Linked DNA regions of Macaca mulatta. The protein of the gene in region 1 purifies or fractionates together with the protein of each later gene. This does not show direct contact. Links are inferred from orthologs where the notes say so. Each region holds a gene or a part of one and is shown on either strand. Other genes may lie near its edges.

Region 1 (3,804 bases):
GAAACCCCGTCTCTACTGAAAATACAAAATTAGCCAGGCATGGTGGCGGGCGCCTGTAATCTCAGCTACTTGGGAGACTGAGGCAGGAGAATCTCTCAAACCCGGGAGGCGGAGGTTGCAGGGAGCCGAGATCGCACCATTGCATTCCAGTCTGAGCAACAGAGGGAAACTCTGTCTCACAAAAAAAGAAAAAGAAAAAGCAGATGGAGGCCTTTGAGCTGCGGCTTATCCTCGAGATCCTGAGGTCTGCTAGACTTGCTGAGACGGGATCAAGGCAGCATCCTCAGTTCCCGGGGAGCGGCCCTGGATTCTGGTCATTGGTGTGTCTGCTGAGTGTACACAGCATGGATCCTTCTTTCCTTCTACACCACAAACCCCTGAAGTGCAGGAATCCAGTCTGTGTCCTTCTGGGGGCCGGCGCGCCACGGCCACGCGGTAAACGGCCAGGTGGAAAGGTAGACTCTCCCTAGGTAGCTAACCCCTGCCCTGGGGGTCTCTGCAGGGCAAACCTGGTGGACCTGCAGAAGAAGCTGGAGGAGCTGGAACTTGACGAGCAGCAGAAGAAGCGTCTGGAAGCCTTTCTCACCCAGAAAGCCAAGGTCGGCGAACTCAAAGACGATGACTTCGAAAGGATCTCAGAGCTGGGCGCGGGCAACGGCGGGGTGGTCACCAAAGTCCAGCACAGACCCTCGGGCCTCATCATGGCCAGGAAGGTGAGCGCTGCGGGGTCGGAGGTTGGGGAGTGGTGGGGAAGGTTCCCCCTGGAAACAGGAGGGAGGTTGGGAAGGCAGCCGGGTCTCTGCATTCTGATTAGCTCCAGGCTCCATTCCTCATCCCCACCAGGGACTCTAGGTACTGAGAAAGGGCCCAGCTTCTGGGCAGATGGGAACGGTGCCAGCCACACACAGCTGTGCCCTCCGGTGGCTACCTTCTGCCCTGGAGGGCACTTGAAATCCACATTCGCAGAAAGCTAACAAGTGTGAATTTCAGGAATGTGAATGTGTTACGGTTCTCCAGAGAAACAAGCGATGAAGCGTGTGTGCGTTCGCGCCTGTGTGTACAGCCACGCACCTCATGGCGATGGCTCAGCCAATGACAGACCGCCTATGCAGCGGTGGTGACGTAAGATGATCGGGCCATGTCTTTGCCTTCTGTATGTTTATTTTTATTTATTTATTTATTTTTGAGACAGAGTCTCTCTGCTATCCAGGCTGGAGTGCAGTGGCACGATCTTGGCTCACTGCAATCTCCACCTCCTGGGTTCAAGGATTCTCTTGCCTCAGCCTCCCAAGTAGCTGGGATGACAGGCGGACACCACCGTGCCCAGCTAACTTTTTTGTGTTTTTAGTGGAGGCGGAGTGTCGCCATGTTGGCCAGGCTGGTCTGGAACTCCTGACCCCAGGTGATCCGCCCACCTCGGTTCTCTATATTTAGATAAACAGATGCTTATCAGCACCGCACCGTACAGAGTACAAGAGCCTGGGTGTAGAATGGGCTTTCCGGTGTTCACACAGCGACGACCTCGCCCAGGGAGGGATTTCTCAGTGTATCCCCGTCCTTAACGATACTTGACTGTATGTGTAGAGAGAGATTTATTCTAAGGAATTGGCTCACACAGTCCCTGGGCTGGTGGGTCTGAAATCTGCAGGACTGACCAGAGCCCCACGGAACAGCTGACGCTGCGGCTGAGATCCAGGCCCTCCTCTTCGGGGGCCTTGGGCGTGTTTTTTTTGGTTGTTTTTTTTTTCTCTTTTTTCCCCAAGACAGGGTCTCCCTCTGTCGCCCAGGCTAGAGTGCAGTGGTGCGATCATAGCTGACTGCAGACTCCGCCTCCTAGGCTCAAGCGATCCTCCCACCTCAGCATCCTGAGAGTAGCTGGGGCCACAGGTGCACGCCCGGCTAATTGTTTGTTTGTTTTGTAGAGACAGAGTCTCACTATGTTGCCCAAGCTGGTCTTAGACTCCTGGGCTCAAGTGATCCTCCTGCCTCAGCCTGCCAAGTAGCCAGGACTAAAGAGAACACCAGGCCTGAGCTCAGGCGATCCACCCGCCTCGGCCTCCCAAAGTGCTGGGATTACAGGCATGAGCCACTGTGCTTGACCTATATTCTTCTTTTTTTTTTTTTTTTTTTTTTCTTGGCTTACTGCAACCTCCACCTCCTGGGTTCAAGGGATTCTCCTGCCTCAGCCTCCTGAGTAGCTGGGATCACAGGTGTGCACCACCACACCCAGTTAATTTTTGTTTTTTTAGTAGAGATGGGGTTCACTGTGTTGGCCAGGCTGGTCTCGAACTCCTGACCTCAAGTGATCCTCTTGCCTCGGCCTCCCAAAGTGCTGGGATTACAGGCACGAGCCACCGTGCCTGGGCAGGCTTTTCCCTGAAGGCCTTCAGCCGATTGGCTGAGACTCACCCACTCTGGGAGGAGTAATCTGCTTTGCTCAGAGTCTGCCGATTTAAAGGTTAATCACATCTTAAAAACGTACCTTCCCAGCAACCTCTAGACTGGCGTTTGACGACGAGGCACCGTGGTCTCACCCAGGAGACGCATAAAGCTGACTGTCACCCCACTCTTTGAGAATTTGCAAGCCCTGGCGCTGACAGCCCCCGAGCTTAGTCATCCCGGGCTCCTGGGCCATGATGCAGCCTCTGCTCTGTGTTTGAGAAGAGTGCCCAGGGGATACAGGGAGGTTGTGACCACTCGGGGACAGCGGCTCTTAAACACATAAGCAGAGGACTTAGTGTTGACGGGGCGTTCAGCTCCTCACCTGTGTTCTTGCAGACATAGAATGCTGCCTCTTCCTGGAAGCCCACCATCCTGTAGTCCCCCAAACTGGGGGAACCTGACCGCACCCAGTCCTGTGGGTCCGCGCAGGTGGCAGCATTGCTGGGGGGCCCTGCCTTCCTCGGGAGCAGCGGCTCAGCTCCTGCGGGGATTTAGCTCTGCAGCTCTGTCTTCTGGCCTCTAGAGTGCCACCCTCCCTCCCTCCTGAAGTCTGCAGCCGCGGACTTGCTATTTCTGTCCCCGTGCTGCAGGCAGCCTCTTCCAAACCAGAGCAGCCTTGGAAAGCTCAGGTCCGCCTCCGCCCGAAGCACCGGGAGGAAAAAAGCAAGCTTGTGGTTGACAGAGCCACAGCAGGGCCTTGAGACAGAGTGCCAGTCCCCGTGTGTGCCAGGGACCCTCGGGCTTCTCAGGGAGCCTCCAGTGGTCCTTGATGGGCTGGGCAGTGGACATGAACCCAGTGCTTGCTGCATCAGCAGCTCCTGCTCCTGCTGACCGGCACAGGTGAAGACGGGCTCACCTGCAGCTTTACCACAGCCGGGAAAGGGAGGTCGGGGCCTTTAAACCTGAGGGCAGGCGTGGCTGGGCAGGCTCTGTGGTCTGGTGCATGGGGACGTCCCAGCGTCGGCTCTGGGGTTTGGTTCTGTCCTTCCGTCATGAAGCTGTCATTCACCTTGGGGAAGGCGGGGAAAGGGCACACAGGACTGTCGGTACTATTTTTGCAACTTCCTGTGCTTCTATAATTCTTTCAAAATTAGGTTTTCTTCTAAGCGCCTGCAGACTCGGGGGTGGGAGAGGATGCGTTGAGCGCGCGGGCTCAGCAGCTCTGGCTGCTATGCAGGTGGGACTGCGAGGGCTCCTTTCATCTCATCTTATTTATTTACTTATTTTTATTTTTATTTATTTATTTTTTTGAGACAGAGTCTCGCTCTGTCACCCAGACTGGAGTGCAGTGGCGTGATCTTGGCTCACTGCAACCTCCACCTCACAGGTTCAAGCGATTCTCCTGCCTCAGCCTCCTGAGTA
Region 2 (4,292 bases), on another chromosome or scaffold:
GTGGACGGCCCCACCCAGCTTGCTGAGATTGTTTCCTGGCTTGTGTCACCCGCCTGTATGAAATGAGAGGCAGCTGCAGAAGTACCTTTCCCTAAAATCCAGATTTACTGATCCATAAAGTAGGGGTTAAGTCTCCCTAGCGAGGGTCTAGTAGGGGTTGTTTCCCTAGTGGTGGCCTGTGCCATAAACGCTACTGGACCCTCCCTAGGGAAAGCTGCCAGGCAGACTCTTTTGGTAGTAACAGCATGGACTGACAGACAAAACGCTGCAGGTGTGAGCAGTCTCGTTCGTATTTTACGTACAGGGGAGCTTGAGATTCAGAAGTCATGGGACCTGCCTAAGGTCACACAGACAGAACCCAGGCCCAATATGAAAGCCATGGGGCTTCCTGTTCACCACGCTGCTCCTATGGCAAAGATTCTTATAATAAACTTAACCCCTATGTTATGGGTTCAGTAAATCTGTATTTTAGAACCATTCTTAGAGGGTTATTCTTAAACAGGGGTAGTATAAAAATAATCACAAACATTTGATTTCACCCAACCAAGTCTCATTCTCTAACCCAGAGAATTTCGAGCCTCCAGAGCCCTCAGAGATCCACTCCAGCCTCCTTGTTTTGCAGGTGAGGAGGCTGAGGCCTCTGGGATGAAGTGACTCATCCAAACTAGCTGGTGGCAGCCCCATGGAACTCGCTCCAGGGGTCTAAATTCCCATCCCCCAAAACAACCCAAGCCCTGCCTTTTCAGGAAGTGGGTGAACCCGAATCCACATCACGGTGGGAAGAGGAGGGAGCTGCAAATCCCCTGTGGGCCTTCGGATGAGTTCTCTGCCACCAGGGATGATTGTCTAAACAAACACTCAGGAGGGAAGCCACTGAATAAACCAGCTCCAAGACTTAAATAGCTGGATGCTCTACGGTGTCATGAACGCCACACCGCCATCAAAATGAGAGACTCTGGAAGTTAGGGTAGGACAAAAAGCCATTCCAGAGAATGCACAGCAAGTGGTTCTCCTATACATACTCTGGGAGCCAGGAGCACTTCAGAGCAACGTGGGGACAATCCCACAGAGGCCAACACAGAGAGCATTCTCCAAACCCAGTAACACCGCAGTCCAACCATGCACTCTGCCGGACAGCGACCCCCTCCTCCCAGAACTGAGCCTCACAGGCCCCCTATTGTGTCAGCTTAAAAACTGAACTTTGCTGGGCAAACACACTCAGCTGTGTTCAAAAAATCAGTTTCTCTCAATACTTGGAAAACTGCAGCATGCATGCAGAAAGGCCGGTTGTAGGGGGTTTTGTTTGTTTTTTAAGCAAAGCCTTGGTCAGTACAGCTTTAGCAACTGTAATAAAAAATAATAATACCCAGCACTGACTGTATTCTTCCAATGTCCTGTGGTTTTATAGCTTTTAAGAAAATAAAACTGAGGGAGAGGCACCCCCGAGCACTTGGGATCAAACAAGGATTCAGGCTTGTGGCATGCCTGGAGGAAGGATTGGTCTTGTAATAATTACCACAATCACAGAGGGCCTTATGACAGCTGGCAGAGGCAATTAGCAATAAGGGGCGGGGGGAGGGTTTAGGGGGAGGAGAAATTGAGGATCTAATAAAACAAAACATCCCCAGACCTGCAGGAGGCCAGATGTGGCAGGGCAAGATGGTGAGAGGTTCCTTGTTCAAGACGGGGCAGCTATTAACTGGTCTGACGTTTCACCGCCCCGTCCCTGGCCAAAATCACATTTGGAATCCACTAGTTGCCCTCATTGTGTATGGACAGGGTGCCCCAACAACCCTTGGACTGGTTTTTCCAAATCCTTCTAATACTTCCCAGCTATAATTTGAGAGAGGAAGGCCCGCATATCTTATTTCTTCTTTACACTCCAGGCTGTCTCCATCAGAACCCCTTAAACAGTGTCATCTTCCCACCAAAGGCTTGCTTCCCCAGCATAATCCTTCCTAAGCCAAAATCCAATCTTTGGGGGGAAGCAGGGGGAGTCGGCGGGTAATTATTAATACATTTTAAGCAGCGAGCCTCTGTGGCAACGTGAAAGGAAAGCACCAAACGCCTGAATAGCAAAAATGCAGTTTCAGCAACACTTTTTGAAAAGCGGCAGACAAGACCTGGGAGGAGAGGAAAGGAAGGGACAGGACGGCGTCTAGGGCTTGAGGGGAACAGGGGACGACAGGCCTGCGATCACGCTTCAGGGGAACCTCCTCCGTCACCCTGGCCCACGGGTGCTCGGCTCAGTCACACAGGGAAAAGTCCAGCTTGTGACTCAGTGGGACAACGAGTCCTGCGGCCCCACAAACTGCAAATGGGGTGGGGCGGAGAAGGGAGGAAAGGGGATGTCCGCGCGCAGCCCACTCCGCCCACGGGCCCCTCGAGCCTCTATCCCAGTTCCCACCACGCACCCGCCCCACAAATCCTGCCCAAGGTGAGGGCTGGTCCTGGGTCCTCCGGCTGCCGCATCAGCGAGTGCAGGAGCGAGGGGAAGCCTCCACGGGGGCGACGCGGGCTCAAGGATGCAACTCGGCCAGGAGTGAACTGGGGCCCGGAGGGAGGTGTCCGGGCCGCTTCTCGAGCCCAGCCCGGGTCCCCGACCCCCTTACCTCCAGGGTCCGGATCTCCTGCTGGGTGAGGTCGTTGGACACAGCGCACTTGGTGCGCAGCCCGCGCAGGCTGCCGATAGAGATGTCGATGAGCTTCTGGAGCTGCCCGCACTGCTGCAGCGCCCGGCTGGCCGCGGCCCCTGCGCCTCCCTCCGCGGCCGCCGCATCCCCCCCGCCACCGCCCTCCTTCTTCTCTCCCATCGCCGCCGCGCGCAGCGCCGCTCTATCCATGCCTCGGCATCGGGGCCGCGGCGGCCGAGGCGGGGAGCCCGGGGCGCGGGCGCCTCGGCAAGGAACCCCTGAGCCGGGAGAGATGGACCAGGAGCGCCCCTCGGCGCTGCCCGAGCCGGGACGCCGGTAGAGCCGGCCGCCGAGTCTACCGCTCCTGAGCTCCCAGCCGCTGCAGCAAAGCGAAAGCCGCGGCGATCCGACGGCTGCGGCTCCCGGAGCCTTTAAGCGGCGGCGGGGGCCGGGTCAGGACGGCCGGGCATGCTGGGACTTGTAGTCCACGCCGCACACCTGCCGCCGGCCCCCGCCCTCGGGGCCCGGGACAGCGCCCGTGCAGCCTTCCCAGCCCTTCTCTCCCCTCCCCTCCTGGCGGCCGCGGCGGTTCAGGCGGTGAGGGCGGGCCCCGACTGGGAGCCCCGGGTGGGGCTGCTCCGCGCCGGCTCCTCCCCTGGGCGCCGAGAGTCGAGGGAGCAGCCTCTCCCGATCCGCCTCCACCCTCCACCCGGCCTAGGAGCTTCCCGCGACCCCCGGATGGGGCGGCGCCCTCTGGACGCCCGGCGGGTGTACGTCCCGCAGTTCCTCAGCCGCAGCCCAGCCCTAGAAGATGGGGACCAGGGAGGTTCCAGGATTTGTATGTGGGTTTAGGGGCTGCCATCTAGTGGGAAGGGGCTTACAGCACTTCTCCTGTAACTGGCTCACAAAGCGCTCTGCTCTGGACTGCCTGCGCCAAAAGGATTGCTCAGGCTTGGAGAAAGACGAAGGGCTTTCTTCTGAACCACATTTACCTACCAAAATAAGTGTCCCATTCCTCCGCCATTCCCAACCCACCAAGTCAGCCCAGACACTGGGGACAGCACACTGAATTGTCGGTGGCTTCGGAGCAAGTGGCCAGGACTCAAATTCTGACTCCACCACTATCTAGGGTGAGACCTTGGGCACGTTCGATTTCCTGTGAATGCCCGAGTCTCCTCGTCAAATAACATTTTCATAGGTTTCCTATGAAGAAGGGTTAATACATGTACAGCACCTAGATTGATTACTGGCACATGTGGTCGCTGGATAAATGTTAGCAATTCTTACTATCTAACCTCAGATCTGAATGTAGCCCTGGACCCAAGTAGTGGCCATGGAGCAGTACAGTACTGCCAAGGACTGGTAGTCCTCTATCCTCTGTGCCTTTCTGTGCCTCCTAACCCAGCAATCAAGCCTCGCCCATCTGTTCACCCTCCTGTCTCATTAGTTCACCCCGTGTGTTCTATTATCTGGCAAAACTGAAAAACCAAGTCTCTGATCAAAGCTCCCACACCTTCATACTTTTAACATCTGTCAACCAGAAAAAAATGTCTCCCCCCTGAATTTTCTCTTGTAAGCTGCTTGATTGCAGAAGCCACTAGCTAGTGTATCATTGTACCCTCTTCATAGTGCCAGAAACAGTGATGGCACACAATAAAG

What was found.
Region 2: the proteins of MAP2K2 (region 1) and KSR1 purify together in Homo sapiens (affinity purification with mass spectrometry; 4 studies listed by BioGRID and IntAct, with this or other methods). This does not show direct contact. The link is inferred for Macaca mulatta from reciprocal best matches to the Homo sapiens genes MAP2K2 and KSR1.

The regions. Positions count from the first base shown.
Region 1 is NC_133424.1:4,939,903-4,943,706, reverse strand, and holds part of MAP2K2 (dual specificity mitogen-activated protein kinase kinase 2), read left to right. Parts: exon of another isoform or gene 1-199; intron 200-502; coding exon 503-713; intron 714-3,804. UniProt on the Homo sapiens protein: Catalyzes the concomitant phosphorylation of a threonine and a tyrosine residue in a Thr-Glu-Tyr sequence located in MAP kinases. Activates the ERK1 and ERK2 MAP kinases.
Region 2 is NC_133421.1:36,150,489-36,154,780, reverse strand, and holds the start of KSR1 (kinase suppressor of Ras 1), read right to left. Parts: upstream 3,042-4,292; 5' UTR 2,844-3,041; coding exon 2,613-2,843; intron 371-2,612; exon of another isoform or gene 1-370.